Linked DNA regions of Mus musculus: regions 2, 3 and 4 are each reported to be linked to region 1. The links are microRNA targets in miRTarBase. Many come from high-throughput screens and were not tested one by one. Region 1 holds a microRNA gene; each other region holds the end of a gene's coding sequence. Distances are between the middles of the regions.

Region 1 (6,119 bases):
GACTTCTGTTTTCAGAGGGAAAAGGAGCAAGAGAGAGCCAGGCACGAGGATCCTGCTCCACATTTTCTTAGAAAACAGTCACCCGGAGAAGAAGACAGCTTCACTGGTGACCTCCAATGTGCATGAGAGACTCGGTCTAGATACGTATTCTTTCCTGCTTCAGACGCTACGAAGTTCACAGGTCAGCAGAGACCTTGAAGGCCACTGAATCTAACTGTTCATAGATGGGGAAACTGAGGCCTGGGAATGTCCAAAGGTTTGCCTGAGATATCTCAGCTACAAAGCACAATCCAGATCCTATTGACTCTCAAGGTCCCAAGGCTCTCCGCGTTAGTAACCTGATTTTCTACACCTTTTCGGTACCTAAGGACTACTAGTAAACTTTATTAATGACAGCAGGGTAATGGAAAAATGTGAACTTTACAGGAAAGTTATAAAATATGCATGGGTAGCCATGTGAAAAAAAGACTATAAAAATATTGATGTAAACTGAGACAACATAGGTTGGAGCAGACTGCCCAGAGGAGAGGAGCGTCTGTGTATGTATTCAGACTTTCAACATATTTACATTATAAGATTTGGAGGGCTGCAGAGATGGCTCAGCCGCTACCCGATAGGCAACCAACCAAAAAGGCAAATGGTCCTTGGATCTTGGCTTCTCTCATTTAGCCTAATGTAAAATGCTACAGAATTTTAATGTATTATCTTTGTTTATTGAGGCTATGGTCTCAATTAACATTGATAAGGTACATTTTTTTTTAACTTGGAGAGTTAGTAAAATATTCACACTTCTTAATGAACAGCTGTCCAAATAATCTCTCTACTAATTTCTTTATCACACTATAGCAGCACATGACCCTGACATTACCATTGCTTGCATCCCCCACGGCACGGTCAGCTCCTTTGACTAAGGTGATCGGTGTCTACTGAATGTGGGACACATGCCACGGTGCTAGGGAGACTTTGAGGAAAAGTCATGAAACCACCCTAACCCTCAAATTGCTCTAGTGTCTCCTGTGAGATCTCACCAGCCCCTGCTCCAGATCCTTAATAAAAAGGCTTTCTAGTAGTAAATTCTAAGAGTCATAGCCTCATCTCTAACATTTCTTCACGTCCCACACGTGCTTACCAACTTAGCAAATGAGTCTCTTCTCTCCCAACTTGCACTCTACCAACAAGAGGGCAAACCGCACCAAACGATGAGTTCAAAGAAATTCAGAACTGAAACGACCTACAATGATCCCACTGTGATGGGCCATAATGCACCTTGACACTCTACGTTGCTTCACTGTACCTTGGCTGCACATTTTCTTCAACTGATAACAAGTGTTCCATTTCTTCAGCGTTTAAGCCTAGCTCCGTGCCATAGTTCTGCTGGAGCAGTTGCCAGAACTCCTGTCTGGTCAGGCTCTAAGATGACAGAAACATTGCGTGACTATTGGAAAATGCAACAGATAACGTAACTGTAATTCAAAGCACAAAGGCCAAAGTCAGAGGAGCCGTGGTGTGAGCAGTCAAGGTGTGGCTCGGATAGATCCTGGCCTATTTGTCTCCCTATTTTCTATTTTTAAAAAAAAGGGTTAATGGGAGCTGGGCATAATAGCTTAGTGGTTGAGAACTGCATATCATCCACAAGGCTCTGCAGAGCTCCATCCCCATCGCTGAAAAGGAAAGGTTAAATATGCCCATTTGATAAGAGACATTCAAGAGGAAGTCCCATGGATAAGAGCACTGGCTGCTCTTCTAGAGGACCTGGGTTTGATTCCCAGCACCTGCATGGTGGCTCACAACCACCTATGACTCCAGTTCCAGGGGATCTTCTGGCCATCTCAGGCGCACGAGTGGTGCACAGACCTATATGTAGGCAAAAATGTAAGAATAAATAATTAAACCAAGAGTTAAATCGATAAACAGATAATCGTTTCTCACAGGGTTTAACCACATTCTCAAGGCCGATCTTGGGCTTGAGCTATTCTCCAAAGAAGTTGAAACTAAAAGGCACATTCCACTTAGAAAATGGTGGGTTTTCAAAGTGTGTATTAAAGAGGCTACTGTGCAGAAGTACACTTCAGTAAAGATGCTTAAAGTGATTTTTTTTCTATAAAAGTAAGTTACTTATCATTTCTGCTAATTACTGATCTGAAATCCATACAACCTATGATCACAATTCAGAGTTGTCCTAAATGTTAACTCAGAACCAAATTTTTTTTTTTTTCCGAGACAGGGATTCTCTGTGTAGCCTTGGCTGTCCTGGCACTCACTCTGTAGACCAGGCTGGCCTTGAACTCAAAAATTCACCTGCCTCTGCCTCCCGAGTGCTGGGACTAAAGGCATGCGCTACCAATGCCCGAGAACCAAAACTTCTAATTCACGATTGTATCTGAATATTTTAAGCATTTTTAGAACTTTGCACACCAATGAGCTCCAAATTACATTTTCCTAAAATATAAAATGCAAGAAAACAACCTTCAGAATACTAATTTACTTTTAGTAAATTCTAGCTTGCTTCCTTTATAGACAGCATGTCAGTGGTAAAGTTACCAAGTACAGCCGAGAAATGTACCCGTGGTTAAGAGTGCTTGCTGCTCCACCAAAGGACCAGTGGCCACATCCTAGCTCCCACATGAGGCAAGTCACAAACATCTGTAAATCTGTAACTCCAACTGACACACCCTTCGGGATTCCATGGGCATCACACACACACACCGACCCACTTAAAAAAAAAAAAACCTTAATCACCAAATAAAGCAAGCTGTAAACTATTTGGGAAAATAACATCATATCATAGTAACAGACTGGTCTCCGGGAACATTGCAATTAATTACATGATTAAGCAAGACAAGAGAGAGAGACAGCATGGTACTTGAAGCAACTGTCAATACGATCTTCCATCCATTCCACAGGTCTTTATTGGGAATGAAACCTGTGGCACCGCTCTAGATCCAAAGGGTATAAAAACAATCTCCGAATTTAGTACTCATGTCTGAAGGATACAGGGCACTCTTAAATCAGATGCACATGATCATGTGCTAATGGGCTGGAAGAGTCTATGGGATAGGGAAGTGCAAAAGGAGTTAATATTATTGAGGACCAAGGTGGCCAGATGAGGCTCCACCGAGGAGATAGGCTTCTGGGTAAGCTAGAGGACAGACGGATTCGTGAAGAAAAACTAGAAGAGATGGAGAGAAGACGACCAACCCATAGGGAGGGCAGAGATGGACAGAAGTAACATTAGTTATGAAGCTAGCAAGTAAGTCATCTCCTAGCCCAATCAGAGAAATGTTTCAAAGTTAAGAGGTTGAATGTAAAAATATATAATGGGGCCAAATGTATAAAGGCCCTGAATTCAGCCCCGGTGTTCAGCCCCTACAACAACCACCACCGCCTTTCCCTCCTCCCAGGAGCAGCTCTGTGTCCTGGTTTTTACTAGATGACTCTCCTTACACTTCATGGAACCAGGGAGCTTAAAAGGAAAATGGTCTGGACTTGCGGCAGCTATATCCCAGTTTGCCAAGATGACCACAAAACCAGCTGATGACAATTCAGATGTCATTATCTACACTTCAAAAATGTCAAAAATATTCAAAAACCTGCAATAAAGGAGGCAAGCTAAGAAAAACATGCCTCTTTGCTTCCAGCTGATTATGTGAACGCGGAGTAGAAATCCCAGGTTGGAGAACTCTAACTGAAAAATCACACATCTAGAAAACAAACTCTGCGATGCTCTCTATTTCCTACAACTGTCCTTTTAGCGGATGAAGTCTTCTCAAGTAGAATATCCAGAGAAGAAAAATATAAAGGCCCATTAGTGACAGTTAAGGATGCTCCTGTCCTTGGTCCTAAAGGGACTCGCCTTCTACCCCAGAGATTCTGTGTGGATTCTGTTTTCATAACAATAATTCATACTGTGAATTAACTAAGTCTTCCAGAGACATCATCATTGGAACCGTTTTCATATCGCAAAAGGATGGTTAGATAGCTTTACCAGAAGAAGGCGATTTTTCAGCACAACTGTGTTAGATTATTAACCGTTCACAAAAACTTTTTTTGAAATAATAGACGTTTCCGAAGATAAAAACTAAAGCAAACAAATGACTTGGTGGTGAACACTCAGCTTCCTAACGGTAAAAGACATGCAACTGGCGAGCAAAACCTGAGAACAAAATGCTATTTAAGTTAATTAGCAAGATAATTTCAACATACATTTTCATCCATTAGTTAAATGTAAATACATAATTGGTTAATGGGAAACAAAACAAAACTCATTTAATTCATGGTGCTAATTTGTTAAAAATGACTATTTCTGCAAGGTTGTCCAGCTGTCTCAAAAACGTGACTATTTACAATCACGCTATTCAAACATGCCAGTCTGATAGTCGCAACTTTTTCAGTATTTAGCAGCTGAGCCTTAAAAAAAAACAAAAACCGACCTAAATATTATTTGAAAGTCGACCACCTACCTGCAAAGGAGCGGAGCGGCTCTGGGTTCAGCCTGCAGATAGATAACTTGAGCAAAATAAAGATGAACCAAGCAGTAATCAGATAGGAGTCAAAAGTCAGCAGATCAATTTCTGGCCCAGAAAGCTTGGTATTCTAAGTACTCTATGGAGTCTTTATCCACAGTTAGAGCTTCAAAACTTTGATAACAGCTAAGCAAACTCGGTACTTCAGTTTCCTACTCTTTACGGGGCTCTTCGCCACGTAAAAGCCAGTGCTGTGTGAAGCTTCAGTTGTTGCTTCCTGGTTCTGAGCACCAGCCCTCTTTCCAGGGGGCCGGTCAGCCTGCAGAGCTGAAGTCACACCTCACTCGACAGGTTCCTAAGCCACGCCCACTGGAAGAGGCTAGGGAAAGAATGTTTTATTAAAGGGACGGTTCCGAATTTCTTCTACTGTACACGCTGATTAGCGACAGGGTGCAAATGGAAAGATCTTACATTTGCTCAAATAATGTAAAACACCTACTGCAATATTATTTTAACCCCACGTGAAAATTAACTATGTTAAAACTTAACCTCCCCATGACAACAGTTTTCAATTCAACTCTAGCGAGTCATTGATACCTATTCTTATTCCACATCAGCACTGACCAGTATTCGCTTCAGACTCCTGCCATCACAGCTAGCATAGATCCTATCCTGAGTACCCTAAATGGAATGTTGGGGAGTAGTCGGAAGAGCCAGCTCTTCAGGTGAGGCATTCGGCATGGCTTTCGTCACTGCAAAGTTTAAGGTGACGTCTCGATTACTCGATGACTCTTTACCTTGAAAACATCTCTGGCTTTAGTTCATTCAGAACAATTTCCTGGCAGAGTCCTGGACTATAACGAATAGGACACAGAGTCTCATCTACCAATTTTAATTTTTCCAAAAGAGAAATGTTTTAAATGAGAAATCAAGACTTGCCCTAATTTCTAACAGTTCTCTCTGTTAATTTAGTAAAGTGTACCTTCGGGTCAAATGTTGCTTGACTGACTACCAAGACCAGCTTTGAGAATACTAACGTCTAATGGCTTTACCAAGGTGACACTGAAGGGTCCCACACCCTCCTGTCAACCTAGTGTGGGTGGCACACACCTTTAATCCCAGCATTCAGGAGGCAGAGGCAGGTGGATCTCGTAGTCTACATTGTGATACAGTGAGTTCTAGGACAGTTAGAGCTACATAATAAAAAGACCTTACCAAGGAAGAAAGAAAGAAAGAGAGAGGGGGGGGGAGGGAGGGAGGAAGGAAGGAAGGAAGGAAGGAAGGACTCCACTCTTTCCTCTTCCTGGGAAGGAGGCACACTGGAGGCCGGCTTCCACTATGAAACTTTGGTGTATTGTACTGGGTTCTCATTGGTTGAAACTGTTAGGTACACATGCTTCCTCTGCTGACCAAATAACTGTGGCAATGTTTATCTGTCATTTTTGTTCTTGTCCCTCTTTCACTGACTACGGAAATCATTTGGGGAAAACAAACTTACCAGTCGATAGAATTGGTAGACACCAAAATTTAGTTTGCTTAAAGGAGAAAATAGAACCCCCCTCCCAAAGTTGGACCCTGAAGAACACCCAGGATGCAATGCATAAGTAGAAGAGGAATGGATGTCAAGAAGGGTTCAGGGGAAGAACAGAGCTAAGG
Region 2 (6,119 bases), 25 Mb from region 1:
AGTCCTCTGGAAAGCAGCCTCTAACTGCTGAGGGATCTCTCTAGTCCTTACAAGCCTTTTTAAAAAGTCTTTGTGTGTGCGAGTGCGTGGCATGCGTGTGTATATATGTGCACACATTGCATGTAGAGAGACCCTCTGTTGACATTAGGCATCTTCCTCAGTCACTTCCCACCTTATATACTGAGGCAGGATCTCTCTGAACTTGGACGTCTCCATCTCCTGAGTGCTGGGACTACAGGCATTCACCCACATACTAGGCCCCTATTTGCTTCTTTGTTTTGTTTTGTTTTGTTTTGTTTCGAGACAGGGTTTCTCTATATAGCCCTGGCTGTCCTGGAACTCACTCTGTAGACCAGGCTGGCCTGGAACTCAGAAATCCTCCTGCCTCTGCCTCCCAAGTGCTGGGATTAAAGGCGTGTGCCACCACTGCCCGGCTCCTATTTGCTTATTAAGTAATAATGATCATGTGATCATGTTAGAGATGGGGTCTGGCTGTATAGCCCAGGCTGGTTTGGAACTTCAGATCCTTTTGGCTTTGTCTGCCAACTGTTGGGAATACTACCGCTCCCAGTTTAAGAATGTTTGTAAAGAGGCCTACATAGCACCTGACACTTTGCCAGGATCAGCCCTGTCATAATACACTGTCTAGTGTCTGTTGGCAGTGGCTGAAAGAAGCTGGCAGGATGGGGGGCACCTTTTACACATACCCTGTGCAGAGTCCAACAGTAATTTTAGACGCTCTCCCTCTCTTCCCCACCCAGTGTCCTCACTCCCAGGCTAGGCGGGTAACTAGCTCCACACTCTCCAGGTCTGCTGTTGCTGAGGCTTAGCGGGTTTTGCATGGCTGAAGGCAGAGACTGAACATAGTTGTGCATGCTTATAATTGCGGCACTCGGGAGGTGGAGACAACAATCTCAGAATTGAAGGTCATACATAGTGATCTTGAGACCAGCCTGGGCTACTTGAGACCCTGTCTAAAACATGTCCAAAGAACACAAAATAAAACTGCTGAAGTAAGATGACCGGTGTGTGCTAAAACAGAACAGTTGCCAAGGAGTGTGGTATAGAAGCAGCTGAGCCTGTGTGTACCATGTGCTCCCATGTGTTCCTCTCTTCAGAAGAGTGTTGAGGAAGAGGGTGATATAGGTGCCATGCAGCAGTACTAAGAGCCCTAGGATCCAGTGGTGAAACAGTAAGTGACCAAGTCTCATTTGTACAGCGATCCCTCTGTGAGAGCGAGCAGGTTCGGGTCCAGGCTGCTCAGAAGCACACCTTGGTATGGGCCTTGAGGCAAAGGCCCCCTACGGACTGGAACCTCCCTCTACCACAGGAGAAGGACAAGTGATAAGCAACTGCAACCCTACCCTTGACCTAGACTTTGACTGGCTCTTACTTGACCTGGAACACAGAGCAAAGCATTTCCAGCCCTAATTGCCTGCTGCCCACTGGATCTGGGCATTTCATCACTGTAATACTCTGAAAGACACCTGTGTGCACATGCTGGAAGCCAAGCACTGAGGCAGGTGTCTGTGAGCACTCAGGTGGGTCCATTCTGTCCATGCCATCTCCCCTGAGAACATCAACACCAGATGTGGCAGCCGAGAGTTGTGAAAATCTCAAGTACACAGTGGCAGCCCCAACCTGTGTGGATCCAGGGCACAGTAGTTAGAATAAGGTTGCTAGACTACCTTATTTTGATTATGAATGACCCTCCTTGGCCATGAGAGATGGACTGCAATGTCTTGTCTAGTGATTATCGTGGTATGCAAGTGCGGAGCTCATGCTTGCTCAGCTTCCCTGGAGACACGGAAGAGCATGCTCAGTGGGTAGGCAACTTGTCCTCTGCACCAGCACCTTTTACTGGTTTTGCAGACTTTGAAAGAAAGAGAGAGAGAGAGAGAGAGAGAGAGAGAGAGAGAGAGAGAACTGGGTGGTGGTGGCCCACGCCTTTAATCCCAGCACTCGGGAGACAGAGGCAGGCCAGCCTGGTCTACAGAGTGAGTTCCAGGACAGCCAGGAGCTACACAGAGAAACCCTGTCTCGAGAAAAAAAAAAAAAAAAAAAAACAACAACAAAAAAAAGAAAGACAGACAGACAGACAGCATTGCAGGAACCAAGGAGTCTGGAATCAAGACATCCAAGTCCCAAGGCACAGACAGAGCTCAGGTCCAAGGACTATGGGGTTTAGGTCTCCTGATTTCTCCTCATTGTTAATGTATTTTTTTAAAAAAGCTGCTTCACATGTTTGATTCCAAAAGCAACCTGAAAATTAAAGCCATGTGACACTTTATACCTGTCTCAATTAGGGTTTCTATTGCTGCTTTGAAACACCATGACCAAAAGCAAGCTGGGGAGGAAAGGATTTAATTTATTCAGATTATATTTCCACATTGTATTCCAAAATCAAGATAGAGACTCAAACAAGGCAGAAACCAGAGGCAGGAGGTAATACAGAGGCTCTGGAGGGGTGCTGTTTCCTGGCTTGCTCCTCAAGGATTGCTCAGCCTGCTTTCTTACAGAACTCAGGACCACCAGTCCAGTGATAGCACCACCCACCAAGGGTGGGACCCTCCCCATCAATTACTAATTAAGAAAATGCCCTACAGGGGCTGGTGAGATGGCTCAGTGGGTAAGAGCACCCGACTGCTCTTCTGAAGGTCCAGAGTTCAAATCCCAGCAACCACATGGTGGCTCACAACCATCCTAATGAGATCTGACTTCCTCTTATGGAGTGTCTGAAGACAGCTACAGTGTACTTACATATAATAAATAAATAAATCTTTAAAAAAAAAAAAAAAAAAAGAAAATGCCCTACAGCTGGAATTTATAGCAGCAGCATTCTCAACTAAGGTTCCCTCCTTTCAGATAACCTAGCTCAGTGGTTGTCAACCTTCCTAAGGCTGTGACCCTTTTATACAGTTCCTCATGTTGTAGTAATGCCCAAACCATAAAATTATTTTCATTGCTACTTCATAACTGTAATTTTGCTACTGTTATAAATCAGAATGTGGGCTGGTGAGATGGCTCAGCGGTTAAGAAGAGCACTGACTGCTCTTCCAGAGGTCCTGAGTTCAATTCCCAGCAACCACATGGTGGCTCACAACCATCTGTAATGAGATCTGACAACCTTTTCTGGTGTGTCTGAAGACAGCTACAGTGTACTTTTATATAATAAACAAACAAACAAACAAATATTTAAAAACAAAACCAAACAAACAAAAACCACCATGACCAGCTACAGTGTACTTACATATAATTAATTAATTAATTAATTAATTAATTAAATCGGAATGTAAATCTCTGATATGCAGGATACCTGATATACAACCCCTGTGAAAGGGTTGTTCAACCCCTAAAGATGTCGAGACCCACAGGTTAAGAACCATTGCTACCTTGTGTCAAGTGGACATACAGCTATATAACCAACAATGCTATATGCTATATACTCAGATTATTATTTTGTTCTCTTATAGTGTTTTAAATATATACTTAAATATACACATGTGTGGCTGCATGCATACACAAAAATATATGCATGAACATAAGTCCACACATGTGTGCACATTTGTGAGCATGCACACATGCATATACTATACTCATGAACACACATGCACACACACACATGTGCACACAAACATGCACTCATGCATGTGCACATGAATGAGTATGCACAATACACCCATGTATACAACATACACACGTGTGTACTCATATAGCTGAATAAGCAGTCACATACATACACATGCATACATGAATGCATACACTCAAACACACTTACAAAAGTGCATACATTCAGAAGATGGCCTAATTGGCCATCATTGGGAAGAGAAGCCCCTTAGTCTTGCAAACTTTATATGCCTCAGTACAGGGGAACGCCAGGGCCAAGAAGTGGGAGTGGGTGGGTTAGGGAGTAAGAGGGGAGGGTATGGGGGACTTTTGGGATAGCATTTAAAATGTAAATGAAGAAAATACCTAATTTTTTAAAAGTGCATACATTCATACAAGCACACATACACAGACGTGCATGTACATACACATAGACACATACATACACACACAAGAACACTAGGTCTCATAGAGGTTTCTTTATTTTTTTAATGTTTTAGAGATTTATTTCTTTTTTTTTTCCATTTTTTATTAGGTATTTAACTCATTTACATTTCCAATGCTATACCAAAAGTCCCCCATATCCACCCACCCCCACTCCCCTGCCCACCCACTCCCCCTTTTTGGCCCTGGTATTCCCCTGTACTGGGGCATATAAAGTTTGCAAGTCCGGGCTGGTGAGATGGCTCAGTGGGTAAGAGCACCCGACTGCTCTTCCGAAGGTCAGGAGTTCAAATCCCAGCAACCACATGGTGGCTCACAACCATCCGATCACGAGATCTGACTCCCTCTTCTGGAGTGTCTGAAGACAGCTACAGTGTACTTATATATAATAAATAAATAACTCTTTAAAAAAAAAAAAAAAAAAGTTTGCAAGTCCAATGGGCCTCTCTTTCCAGTGATGGCCGACTAGGCCATCTTTTGATATATATGCAGCTAGAGTCAAGAGCTCCGGGGTACTGGTTAGCTCATAATGTTGTTCCACCTATAGGGTTGCAGATCCCTTTAGCTCCTTGGCTACTTTCTCTAGCTCCTCCATTGGGAGCCCTATGATCCATCCATTAGCTGACTGTGAGCATCCACTTCTGTGTTTGCTGGGCCCCGGCATAGTCTCACAAGAGACAGCTACATCTGCGTCCTTTCAATAAAATCTTGCTAGTGTATGCAATGGTGTCAGCGTTTGGATGCTGATTATGGGGTGGATCCCTGGCTATGGCAGTCTCTACATGGTCCATCCTTTCATCTCAGCTCCAAACTTTGTCTCTGTAACTCCTTCCATGGGTGTTTTGTTCCCAAATCTAAGGAGGGGCATAGTGTCCACACTTCAGTCTTCATTCTCCTTGAGTTTCATGTGTTTAGCAAATTATATCTTATATCTTGGGTATCCTAGGTTTGGGGCTAATATCCACTTATCAGTGAATACATATTGTGTGAGTTTCTTTGTCAATGTGTTACCTCACTCAGGATGATGCCCTCCAGGTCCATCCATTTGGCTAGGAATTTCATAAATTCATTCTTTTTAATAGCTGAGTAGTACTCCATTGTGTAGATGTACCACATTTTCTGTATCCATTCCTCTGTTGAGGGGCATCTAGGTTCTTTCCAGCTTCTGGCTATTATAAATAAGGCTGCTATGAACATAGTGGAGCATGTGTCCTTCTTACCTGTTGGGGCATCTTCTGGATATATGCCCAGGAGAGGTATTGCTGGATCCTCCGGTAGTACTATGTCCAGTTTTCTGAGGAACCGCCAGACTGATTTCCAGAGTGGTTGTACAAGCCTGCACTCCCACCAACAATGGAGGAGTGTTCCTCTTTCTCCACATCCTCGCCAGCATCTGCTGTCACCTGAATTTTTGATCTTAGCCATTCTGACTGGTGTGAGGTGGAATCTCAGGGTTGTTTTGATTTGCATTTCCCTGATGATTAAGGATGTTGAACATTTTTTCAAGTGCTTCTCTGCCATTCGGTATTCCTCAGGTGAGAATTCTTTGTTCAGTTCTGAGCCCCATTTTTTAATGGGGTTATTTGATTTTCTGAAGTCCACCTTCTTGAGTTCTTTATATATGTTGGATATTAGTCCCCTATCTGATTTAGGATAGGTAAAGATCCTTTCCCAATCTGTTGGTGGTCTTTTTGTCTTATTGACGGTGTCTTAGAGATTTATTTCTATGAGTACACTGTAGCTATTTCTAGACACACCAGAAGAGGGCTTTACAGATGGTTGTGAGCCACTATGTGGTTGCTGGGAATTGAACTCAGGACCTTTGGAAGAGCAGTCACTCATGGTGAAAACCCCACACCATACTAGGCTGGTAATTCTCCAGGGCTATGTAGTGAGATTGTATACAGTCTGATCAACACATAGATGAATGCAGATATAATTGAGGAAATCGAAATGCTCTGTGGAGTAATAAGGTGAGTTTCTGGGTCCTGACGCTCTTGTAATGTGTTGATGTCCATCAAGGAAAGAAAGAAAAGAACTTTTAGAGTTGTTTAACCAAGAGCAAGTTC
Region 3 (6,119 bases), not on the chromosome of region 1:
AATCATGCACAAACTTAATTGATACTAAAAGACATTTTGAAGGACGTCTTATTTTTAAAAATCATTTAAAATCACTGCTTATACCAACTTAACATGCTTTTTCTAACTAAACAGCATTTACAAGTATCCAAACACAACCATTCTTAGTGGAAACCACCCAGTTCACATGAGAGTCCGTTTCACTACACTCCTCACAACAGCCCTGTGAGGTAGGCTAAACAAGGTACAATATTTGAAGTAAGGCAATAGAGGCCCAAGATTGAAGAGTGATTCAGAGAGGTCATAGATTACTGTATGGGGCAGCTATAAAGATTAAGTTTAAATACTTAAAAGAATGCCAAAAATCTTCAAGACTTGCAGTTTTTACCTGAAGTTATTCCCCAACTTTAGCTATTGTATCTTAATAGAATCAGTTATGGATTTGATTTCAAAGAAATTCCATTAAAAGATCAGTTAGTCTCAGTCCTTTGGTATCTTACAGATATTGGAAATGTTAGTAAGAAATTCTTCTCATAGTCCCACACACTTCAAAAAGTTCCAATATTACTAAAATGCCTTTTACCAATTTCTTCCAATTTGATTTATTGTAAAATTGGTTCAATCTTAAGTTCCAAGCCAAGCAAATACATTCACTGACCTCTGCCCTACATACTGCATAAACTTCTACATGTTTATTCCTAAGCACCAACTTGACTATTACTAAGAAAATATATAATTTTAAACAAATATAACTTAAATGATTATGTATCAAAGCTAGTATTATTAACCCAGAAAAAAGTACTCTTTTGATATGGTTGGGTAGTCAGATAAAGTTCTATGGTAATTACTGGTATTGATTACTAAGCCAGTATCATATGGCATGTCCAACGTTCCAATGCGAACAAAAGCAGCAAACAGTCCACTTAAATTCCAACTGGTACAAAGTTCCTATGGTACTCAGGTAATCATCCCGCTCAGGTGACACAATACTGACATCAGAATCACAAATGTGAACACTGTTACGAGACACAAAACTAAACATACAAACATGAGGTAATGTCGCTGTGATGGTTTTCTGTAAGAAAAGCTTTATTACTCTAGGTCTGAGCACTGGAGTTATGAAAAAATATACTGGCTTGAAAACAACAACTTGGTGGTGACATGGATACTGAGTAATTTCATGCTTACTTCTGACAGAATGAATATGATGTAAAAATAAAACAAGAAAAGTAACTTTTCCAAACTTTTTATTATAATGTAAAAGTGAAATATTACTACGAGTAGTTAATTTACAAGCAACAACAAATGTACTTTAAAAAATTTTTAAGGTATGTGTGTGTGTGTGTGTGTGTGTGTGTATGCGCATGCACATGTGCACACACATGCGCAGGTTAAAAGACAACTTGCAGGAGATAAGTCTCCCCTTCCATTTGGGTCCCAGGGAACAAACTCAAGTCATCCAGTTGGCAGCAAGTGCTTTTCTTGTGAGCCATCTCAGCAGCCCATGAATACAGTTTTTAGAAATTTAGTGACATATTAACAAAACATTATTTTTAGATCAAGACTATCAAATCAAAAACATCAGAATGAGGTTCATATGGTGAATTAAACTCTACTACTTTTGCAAACATAGACAGAAAGTAATAAAATTGATGATACATCATAAAAACTTAAGTAGTTATATGAATTATATGCTGATCTAACAAAGATGCTAAAAATCTATGACTAAAACAGTTGAAATTTTAGCCTAGAGTAATGTATTTCATGGTAAGACATCTATACTGCTTTCTTTTAAGATTAATATTCTTTGGAGTAATCACTTCTCATATATATCCCTTTCCAATTTTTAAAAATTGTTTTTGAAAGAAACAACTACAAATACATAGATAGCTATAATTTCATGGAAAAGATATATAGACAAAACTAGGTAATTCTAGATAATTGACCTAATTAAAATATTTCATCATAAATATTTTCTTTTATTATTTATATCAAGGATCAATCATGGAAGTTCAAATTATACATACTATTGTTGATGGTTCGAATTTTTTTAGAATCTTCAGAACAGAATGAGAAGGCTTAGCCTGGCTGTCTAGTAGTTGATGACACACGGCAGAGGTGCTATCAATTAAACGTACAGACAGACAGACAGACAGACAGACAGACAGACACTCTTAACACTTTTTAAAAAGCCTATACCTGGAACATTCAAAAGATCACTGTATTAATATTAATTTCTATGTGCATTAGTCATTAAATACTTGGTATATCCATATTTACCAGTATTTAAAAGATGTGACACAATCAGCTGAGTCAAATGAATTGTAGCAAATTCTTTTTCTAAAGTGCTTAAGGCAGCTCCTTCCTGTCTACTTCCAGCTAAATGAAACTGGTTTGGATTCAACTGCTAAGAGGGAAATACAATACTTAATACATATTTTATGAAGCAGTTCTTCACACTGGTTATATATCCCTTACAGTCCACCTCCCCTATATTTCCTTCATGGAAAGCAGCCATGTCCAAGCTGTGTAAGCAGACATAGAGCAGTGAAGAACGCTGGAGTGAAGAGGGCTGGCCAGCTTGCCACAGCTGACTGAGCTGAGCAGTTACCTTGCTTTGAGAAAATTTAACTAGGCACTCTATTCAATTATTTTAATTTAAAAAGAAGGGTTGACAAAATTCAATTTAACATAATAAACTTAAGATTTTTAAACTTAAATACTACAGATTTGTTCTATTTTTAAAAGAGACCCTGATGTGTATTTTAAAGCAATGAGGGTATAATTAGTACCTAATATCGTGTGATAAGAACTTGGACTCTCATTCACTGACGTTATACTTCATTCTACAAATCTGCTGAGAAATAAAACCTTCTGGGTAACTGTCGTGCGTTTTCCAATGACTGTTTGGAAACTGTAGATGAAGGTCTCAATGATGGGACAAGGACAAGGAAGAAGCACACTTGCTCCTCTGGCCTCAATAGAAGGCCTGCACCACTATGGTCCAGTGTTGCCTGCCTTAAAGTCAGTAGACAATGAGCATGAGAAAAAGGCACTGTATAAATGAGAAGATTCAACTATGCAAGATACAGTATCATAATGAAAAGGTCTATGAAAACAGCTGGCTTTTTCCTTGTCATTTTTGACAAAATAAACTTAGTAGCCACACAAAGCAATTCTAGTAAATCACTGCTTTCAGGTATGAGTCTACAAAAAGGAGTAATTCCTTTTTCCCTAGGTCATGAAATACCATTTCTATAGGTAATGGAACAATGAAAAATGTCTTTCAAACTATAATAAATGAAAAGTAAAATATTGCTTTGGGAAACCAAAAGAATATTGATATACTTCATTCTATAAACTGCCTTAGTCTTAAAAACTACCAGTGTGTTATCAGATAATAGTGTAGATATGTGTGATATGGAGAAATAATATTCTGTCAAATTTGCTTCATCAACAGAACAAAAATAATCATGCTACTAAGTAGTAAATTTTAAGAGCAAATACTTATTATGATCTACAAGCTACATGAAGAAAACAAAAATGAACACTTCTCCAGGGAAGTTTGTCAGAAGTCCAAGAAACTTAAAACAAGAAGAGATTTAGAAGTCTCAAAAATTAATCAGAGATCAAATATTCATTTCTTTAAAGTTCTTAAAGCAGTTTTACAATCTCAACTTCTAGTTTGGCTCAAAAACCTTGAATGAAAAGTTTTAATTGACTTTGTAATAAAAGACTTTTCCGTTAATAACCACAGGTTTTGCTCACTGCTTCCCACATGCCTTCAGATTTGAAAAAGGAAACTATATTCATTTTTGGAAGAATCATAAACTTTTAAACAGTGAATGAATGGACCAAAAAGACAGAAACAAAAACCAAACCAAATCAAAACACCCCTCAAATGATTGTTTGAAAAACACATATACCAATTAAGTAGGACACATTTTGTTTTTGTTTTTGTTTGGTTGGTTTTTTTGAGACAGGGTTTCTCTGTGTAGTCCTGGCTGTCCTGGAACTCACTCTATAGACCAAGCTGGCCTTGAACTTAGAAATTCACCTGCCTCTGCCTCCCAAGTGCTGGGATTAAAGGTATGCACCACTATGCCCAGCTAGGACACATGTTTTTTTTTTTAAACAGCTGGTAAACCAATCCATATCTTTATAAAAGAACATACAAATTATTCCAGAAAAGAATACTTTAGGCACATTTCTTTATAATCTTACACAGACAAAAAACAAAAAAAAACAAAACAAAAAAACAACAAAACCCAGCAATATACAGCTTTTTACCCTTTATAAAGAACTTAATTCACAAACTTTCATAAGCAATAATTATTATCAGTGCCAAATTCAAGTGGAAGTTTTATCAAAGATGCAAAGACAGCTATAAAAGTGGGGTCAAAGCAGAGAACAAACTTAGAGAGCACGGTTTCTCAGGTGGTGCCCAGGAGCTGGTGGAGGAATGGACAGAATGACTCAACACAAACACACAAGAATACTCCTTTGCACTGCCTAAATTCTCTGTCTGCTTGATATTTTTGAGTTATAACTATAAGAAAATACTACAATATTTTAGAGGAGAAAGTGATATGAATCTAGTCAATCCATAAGTTACCCTATCAAAAACTCAGTTTATTTATAAAAGACTAAAATAAGCCACCATAGGTCAATTTCTCTGCCTAGGCAAAGATTTCAATTTCTAGGAAGCCTTGGGGGACCTTGTGTTTTTAAAGCCTCAGTGTAGCATGTAATGACAGCCGGTGAGGAGCAGAAACAGAGCAAGGGCAGGGAGAAAGGCAAGCTTTTAATGCTTAGCAACCCGGGCCCAGGGCTCGCCAGGCGTAATTACACCTACCAGACAAACCAGAGGAGCTTAAGAGACAGAAAGATGGCTTTCTACACAAACAGTTCAACACCGCCCCTTTCCTAATCACTACTCAATATCACTATGTCAGCCTCCTGCACCCCAACTGCTTGATTCTGGGACGCAGGCAATAACCTCCATGGCTGCTTCCTATTTGGTAGTTAATCTAACAGACTCCAGGCTTTAAAGCAGAACATAGAAAACCTGATTCCACCACTCAGAAATATCTGTTAGTAACTGTGTGGGAAAGGCCACACAGTCAAAGGGAAGGGAAACAGTCTGAGTTGCCATTACTGAGTGACATTGTTCAGGCTGCTAGTTGAACCAGTCATTCCGTTTTCACTTTTCTGAAGTGTTCTCACAGCACTTGGAACCTGCATTCCAGTACTCAAAGAAAGTCCACCACACCACACCTAAGAGAAGACAAAAAACAAAGTCTCAGTTAAACTCAAATCCAATTATAACTCCAGTAATCCTTAACTTTCCATTTGAAAGGCAAAATGTCACAGGGATGAACATCAACAAATCCCAAACTGATAAGCTTCGTGCTCGAGCTGAGGAGAGATGAAAAGGCTCACAGCGGCCAAAGGCTGGCTGTGTCGTAGAAGCCACCGAATCTGTGCCCAGGAAAGGGAACACAGGGCAGCGGAAACTCAGGAGAACAAAGCAGATTAACCTCAGCAAGCAATACTGAGTATTGGTACTTCCCTAATGTTTATAACCAGGGGACTGTACCCCTAAGAAGCTTATATCACATTTATGACGTTAATATTGAGACATAGCTTTAGACAGGACATATGATCCTTTGAGACACTTGCCCTGAACAGAACACCAATCACTCATGTCCTAAGATCTCAATTAATAAATAGGACCCCATGAGATGAGAACCGTCTGTAAAGCAAAGGCCCCATCATTAGAACAAAATGGCGGCCTACAAACTGGAAAAAGATTTTCAACAACTCCACATCTGATAGAGGGCTAGTTTCCAAAATATATAAAGAGCTCAAAAAATTAGACATCAACAAACCAAATAATCCTATTAAAAATGGGGTACAGATTTAAACAGGATTCTCAGTAGAGGACTCTCAAATAGACAAGAAGCACTTAAATGTTCAACATCCATAGCCATCAGGGATACGCAAATTAAAACTTCTCCGAGATTCCACTACACCTGTCAGAAGCCTAAGATCAAAAATGCAAGTGACAGCACATGCTGGCTGGGATGTGGAGCAAGGATAATACTCCTCCACTGTTGTTGGAAGCATAAACTTACACA
Region 4 (6,119 bases), not on the chromosome of region 1:
TGCAGGAGATCCCTAGGGACATCCCAGCCGACACGGTGCTTCTGAAACTAGACGCCAACAGAATCTCCCGAGTCCCCAATGGAGCCTTCCAACACCTGCCTCAGCTGAGGGAGCTGGACCTGTCCCATAATGCCATTGAGGCCATTGGGCCAGCAGCCTTCTCAGGTCTGGCTGGGGGCCTGCGGCTGCTGGACTTATCCCACAATCGCATCCGAAGAATTCCAAAGGACGCCCTGGGCAAGTTGAGTGCCAAGATCCGCCTGTCCCACAATCCACTGCACTGTGAGTGTGCCCTGCAGGAGGCCCTGTGGGAACTAAAGCTGGACCCGGACTCCGTGGATGAAATTGCCTGCCACACCTCAGCGCAGGAGCAGTTTGTGGGCAAGCCGCTGATCCAGGTCCTGGACTCAGGTGCCAGCTTCTGCAGTACCCACCGGAAGACCACCGATGTCGCCATGCTGGTCACCATGTTCGGCTGGTTTACCATGGTGATTGCCTACGTAGTGTACTACGTACGCCACAACCAGGAGGATGCCAGACGACACCTGGAGTACCTGAAGTCCCTGCCTAGTGCTCCAGTCTCCAAGGAGCCTCTTAGCCCTGTGCCCTAGCACCCACCTCCGGTGGGCCACTGAGCCTGGCTACCCTGTCTTTCTGCAGCAGGTGGAGGTGATGGTGCTCTTGTGTCCCCAGGGAGGTGCATTGCAGCTGTTCAGCCCAAAAAAGCACTTTCATAGTTGGTATTTGGTCCCTGCAGCCACTGCCTAACACTGTAGCGGGGGGAGGGGGGTTTGCCCATCTTAATGGGTAGGTAAATGGAGGTCGAGAGAAACGGAACTCCTTGCCAAGGCTGGCTTCAGCTGCCACTTAAACCCAGGCTGTTTGTGGTATAGGTCTGTGAGCCGTCTGATCTGCCAACCTCCCTTTCCCACACCATGCTGTGGGAAGTAAATACTTGTGCACGCAAGGATGGGGGCCCTGGCAGGGAGGATGGCGCCAGCAGTTTTGCCACCGGGGAATGGCTCATTTCTGTTTACCCCTGCTCTCCCAGTACATCTGAACACAGAGATGTTTGCCCTTTCCCAGAGCAAAGTACCGGCAATCTAGACCTTTCCAGAGAGGTCAGTGCAAAGTCCAGCCTGCACTGGTCTGCTCTGACCTTTGTCCTGGGAGTTCTTTAGTTGCCCTTGTGCCAAAATGTCAGTCCATCGAGAGGGAGAAAATGGAGAAACGTGAGAAAGGTCCAGCATGGGCTCACCATGGCCGTGTCAGCTGCTAGACCACTTATGGGCTGCCTCAGCTTCTGCCACTTCTATCCATTCCTGGGCAGTGGAAACCTGTCAACCTCGGTGGCTCTTGTGCCTTGCTTTCTACTGCCAATATCTAAAGCAGCTGTTTTTTCAGAAAGAGGAGGGACTGAAGTTTGAGGTTGCCATGCCAGTCAACAGGAACTGCTTTTCTCTAGCAACAAGAACCTTCTCTTCACCTCGCTGAAATCCCAGAGCTCACTGATCAACTTTCTTACCTGTAATTACTTCATCTTCAGGGGTAGATGTTCTAGCCACCTAACTAGACTTGACTTCCAGTTTTGTTATTTACTGTCCTTTTGTATAAGTGTTTATACCCTAAGCTATGTCGTCATCGAGTATCTGGGAGAAGTAAATGAGCATAGTGTGTGTGTCTGTGTGTGTGTGTGTGTGTGTGTGTGTGTGTGTGTGTGCTGAGTATAGGGTCTAGATGCCGCTCTGAGCAGAAATTGAATGTGGCTTCTGTGTGTGCTGGGAATTTTCTTGTGATCTGCAGGGGCAAGGTGAGACTATGTTGGGGGCCTGGCCTGACTTGGTCCTTACCGTCAGTGTGACCCACAGTTCTGTCACCATGTGACACACTTGCCTGAGGCTACATGGCTGTCAGCTGCAAAAGTATATGGAAGAGAAAAACACTCATGAATTCCAGACTTTCCCCACTGCTGAATGCCCACACCTACATGGTGACCGTGGGGCCACCATGCCTGGCATCTGCAGGGTGAACAGAGCCCTGGATGAGCTCCCAAGCTGTCCACTATTCTTCCACAGCCCTGGGCCAAGCTACACTGTCTTCAGGGTCAGACCCTGGCGGAGCTAGTAGGACCATTCCCATTCCCATGAGAATTGGAACCTCGAAGCAGCCTCCTTAGGGACACCAGTCAACGTTGTGATGCTGCCTGGCCCCCATTGGCACAGACATGCTCAATACCCAGTACCCAGTTAAGTGTTCAGAGGAGGCAGGTGCTGAGGGCTGTATGATTTGGACCCTGGAGGGTGCTGTGCCAAGGAAAAGAGGTTAAAAAGCCAGAGCTGAGCCAGGCAGTGGTGGCGCACGCCTTTAATCCCAGCACTTGAGAGGCAGAGGCAGGCAGATTTCTGAGTTCAAGGCCAGCCTGGTCTACAGAGTGAGTTCCAGAACAGCCAGGGCTACACAGAGAAACCCTGTCTCGAAAAAACCAAACCAAACCAAACAAACAAACAAAAAAAAGCCAGAGCTGAGGGCTTGGATTAAGGACCAGGTACCACCCTGGTGCTGTGGCAGTGCTGAAGTAGCTATCTATGTATGTCCCATGGACAGGGACACCTCTAGCCTGACACATACTCTGGGAGGTGCCAGTGCAGAGGGTATGGCTTGCATTCCTATTACCATGTGGTGGGGACGGTAGCTGCTTCCAGGCAGGGGCACAAGTTGGGAGGTAGCTGGCCCCTGCGGCCTTTCTACCATCCTACTCAGTAGAGGGACCCTGTTTCTGGAGCTTGCCACTATCCAGCATGTCTGTCCCATCGACAAAACCAGGTCAAAAAAGAACATGGGTGGAGGCCTGGTGGTGAAGTCTGTAGCTGCTCTTGTCCCAGAAACACCCTATTGGGTCTTTTAGATACACCGGTGTAGGTAGGGCTCCGTCCCAGGCTGCTCAACCCACTGCCAGGCTTGCTGCTCTTAACCTAGGGCTTAGCCCTACCTGGTTGCACATCTATACAGCTCCTGCTCAGCCCTTGCTGGAAAGAGGAGATGGGAGACTCAGGAGAGTATGGACCCTGGAGAGAGCATGCCCTGTCCTCCTATAAGGAGGACCTCAGAGACCTCAGCACTCTCCTGCTCATCCAAGCTTCCAACCCTGCTGCCTCAGAGTCTTATCTCCCTGTCGTCCCATTCCATGTCATTCATTCATGTATATAGATACCCTTCCCTTCCTTCCCATGACCAACTCACAGGCTAAGTGTATGAGGCTGGAGCCTCTGCTGGAGACTTGCAGATGTGGATGGTTGCATTGAAACTGTCTTTCTCCCTGGATCCCACCTGCTTCCACCAGCTTCACCTTCCTTCTCTCCTTGAATGAGATATTCTCCTCCCCCAACTCTGCACAGACCCTCTAGATCTCCAGGACTCTGGGTCAGTCCTCCCCTACTCTGCGCATCTCCACCCCCACCCCACCCCGACTTGAGTGTTCCTCAGGCACAGTGGGCGGGGTTTTTTTTTGTTGTTTTTATTTTTGCCACATGGCTCAGTGTCCTGCCCCATCCTCACCCCCATCAGTATAAACCTATCATCCCAGGTCCCACCCACTGGCTCCTTTGGGCACTTTCCCTCCCACTAGTTACATGTGATTGCCTAAGACACGGTTTAAATTGAAATCCTTGGGTGGGGTTAGAGGTTGAGGGGTGGTAAGTCACAGACTGAGATGGAATGTTCTGAGCCTGTGGCAGCTCTCAGGACTAGGACTAGGCTCCTAGGATGGCTTCTATGTTGCCTTTCTTGGAAGCTCAGCCCCGAACCTGATTCTGTCCTCTCCCAGCCTCTCTGTGAGCCCTCAATAAAACTTTTTGTGCAGGAAAGCTGATTGGGATTCTGTCATCTTCAATTCTAGCCGACACCCATCCCTCACGACCGTGTCAACATCTGTCTGCAGGTCCTCACAGCTGGGAGGGCATCTTCAACTAGCTAGACAACTGATTGTCATAGTTAGATCATAATGGCCGTCATTAAGTTTTCAGGAATTCTGGGAGCCAGCTTGTACCATGGTGCCTTGAATCTGACCACGTAGAGGCTCGACGCCAAGGAAATTGGTAAACATCACATGTCAGAATCCCACCCTCATAATCCTTGGAAGCAGTTATTATTTGACAGCACTCTGTGTGAGAACAGTTCAGCGTGGCCTCCAGGCTGAGCCAGCAGCACCCGGATAGCCACAGTGCGGGTGGCTCCCACAAAGCCATGATCCTTAGGCCACACTGTCATGCCAAAGATAACTTTTCTGAATCTTCAGGATTTGATTTCTCAAGGGCCATGGCCCTTGGGATTCACCATCTATGGATGCTTATTGTCTCCTGACAGCTTTGTATCCCTGCTCTGAGGTCACGGCTGCCCGCCTGTCTGCCTCACCAACTTTTCCAACTGCTGTTTCCAGATGCCCTATCTGGAGACTTTGTGTCCCCACAGATGGTCTGGTACCCACCTACCAGCCTGGGTTATCCCTTCCTACTTTCTATCCTGCCTTGTTCTCTGGGTTCTGGGCTGGACAATGGATGCAATCTCTTTCCCTCTGTAGAATGCTTTTCTGCCATGGAGCACTCTCACACCCAAGTCAGTTTTCAGTTAATGTGGCTGGAAGACCCAAAGAGTGTTCACATCACCCGTCAGCCTGTCTCCCTTCCCTGCAAACTGGCTTGTCCCTTCTAGGAAACCTTCAGTGTAGCCAGAGTGGAGTCCAGGAGCTTCCACAATCTGCAAGTGCACACACACACACACACACGTATACACACATACATAAATACATGCATATGCATTTCCACTACATGTAAGCCAGACAGACACAGAGATATTGTTACACTCATGTGAGTGTACACAGGCTCACATGCAGATTTAGAGGCATGCACTACATTTCTGCACACATGCACCTGTCATTGCATCCATCCCTCACTCCTGGCCCACTGTGTCTGTGGTCTTTGGAGGGAGTGTTAATCTGCACCTCGCCCCTCCCCCCAGGCCTCTAGAGGCAGTTGCCTGCTTAAGGGTCTCTTCTGTAGCAGCATCTATTTGACTTTTCCAGAATCCAGAGGTGGCGGCTGCTTTCCTGGGATTCTGAGGAATTTTGTAGCTCTCTGGACTTGCAATGGACCCCTTGGCCTTGCACACCACAGGCTAGTGTTGGAATCAGAGGAAAGGATTTGCTTTGGAAAGGGCCTCTGGGTGGTACCAAGGGCAAAGCTATGGGCAGGGGTGGGTGGGAGATCTGAAGGTCGGTTGCATCCAGGGAGCTCTGGCAGGGCTGAAAAAAATCCCATGACTCTGGGAGTCTAGCATTGGGCTAGCAGCAGCCCTTAGGACACTATCTTTACTCAGGACATGGGCCACTGGGAGGGTACCTCAGCCTCCACATGACAGGACCAGCTTGCTTTCAAGGGCATTTTAGTTGGTTCTTACAGTGGTTGGTTGGTCTGCTTCAGAGAAGGGTGTTGAAGTTCAGAAGAAGCGATGTGCTTGCTTAGTGGTGGCTGGCTTCTGGCAGCTTGGGCTGGAATCTGCATCTCTGATGGCTGGCCTGGACACTGTCACTTGGGAGTTGGGCCTTGGGGTGTTGTCAAAACAAAAGACCAGAGCTTGGTTGACTACAGATGGAAGAAAGGCCAGCCGCCAGTGTGTGAGGCAAAACAGACTGGTTCATGTTCCCGAAACCTGTCTGCATGGCCGCCACAGCCAGGGGCAGGATGCTTCAAGCTTAAACTGGCTCTGCCCTTGTAACCATGGCAACAATACTGCCCAGAAAGGGAGCGGACACCCAAGTGTCACTGGGTGACATTAGCCATCAGAAGTAGCCATGTGCTGCCACTGGGACCAGTGGAGGCCATCTTACCCCCTCCCTTACATTCTGTACATACTGAAGCAAATCTGCCACCTAAGGGACCTGAAGCCACAGTAGCAGCCAGCCCCTAGAGAGGGGAGACTCAAGCAGAGGAGCGGTTGCTATGGTTCACTCCACTTGCCCCGAACACAGTGGGTCCTGGGATGGTTTGACACATGCCGCCTGGTCCTCAGGGGCTCTCATGTTCAGAGTTGGTGTGAGCAATGGACAGCTGGACCTAGGCCTCACC

What was found. The annotated mature microRNA mmu-miR-3470b reads UCACUCUGUAGACCAGGCUGG and lies in region 1 at 2,258-2,278, shown strand. An mRNA with a match to its seed (bases 2 to 7 or 8) in the 3' UTR can be bound and repressed. Matches are read on the target gene's strand: a 7mer-m8 pairs with bases 2 to 8, a 7mer-A1 pairs with bases 2 to 7 and ends in A, and an 8mer does both.
Region 2: miRTarBase lists 2510002D24Rik as a target of mmu-miR-3470b. Seed matches in the 3' UTR shown: 8mer at 1,994-2,001.
Region 3: miRTarBase lists Fsd1l as a target of mmu-miR-3470b. Seed matches in the 3' UTR shown: 7mer-A1 at 3,996-4,002.
Region 4: miRTarBase lists Lrrc3 as a target of mmu-miR-3470b. Seed matches in the 3' UTR shown: 8mer at 2,428-2,435.

What each region holds. Positions count from the first base shown.
Region 1 is chr16:44,011,628-44,017,746 of GRCm38, forward strand. It overlaps Mir3470b (microRNA 3470b), which reads left to right and starts at 2,225; the gene lies at 2,225-2,350. Gramd1c (GRAM domain containing 1C) reads right to left here. Exons shown (of 17, transcript NM_001359085.1): 6 at 1,295-1,410.
Region 2 is chr16:18,837,871-18,843,989 of GRCm38, forward strand. It overlaps 2510002D24Rik (RIKEN cDNA 2510002D24 gene), which reads left to right. Exons shown (of 3, transcript NM_001033164.2): 3 at 1,220-2,243. The coding sequence ends at 1,345. Among named protein-coding and RNA genes, the nearest start is that of 2510002D24Rik, 4.4 kb to the left of the region's middle.
Region 3 is chr4:53,700,178-53,706,296 of GRCm38, reverse strand. It overlaps Fsd1l (fibronectin type III and SPRY domain containing 1-like), which reads right to left. Exons shown (of 13, transcript NM_001195284.1): 13 at 1-5,256. The coding sequence ends at 5,134. Among named protein-coding and RNA genes, the nearest start is that of Fktn, 11 kb to the left of the region's middle.
Region 4 is chr10:77,895,319-77,901,437 of GRCm38, reverse strand. Lrrc3 (leucine rich repeat containing 3) reads left to right here. Exons shown (of 2, transcript NM_145152.4): 2 at 1-3,863. The coding sequence ends at 611. 1700009J07Rik (RIKEN cDNA 1700009J07 gene) reads right to left here. Exons shown (of 2, transcript NR_015547.1): 2 at 5,327-5,596. Among named protein-coding and RNA genes, the nearest start is that of Lrrc3, 4.2 kb to the left of the region's middle.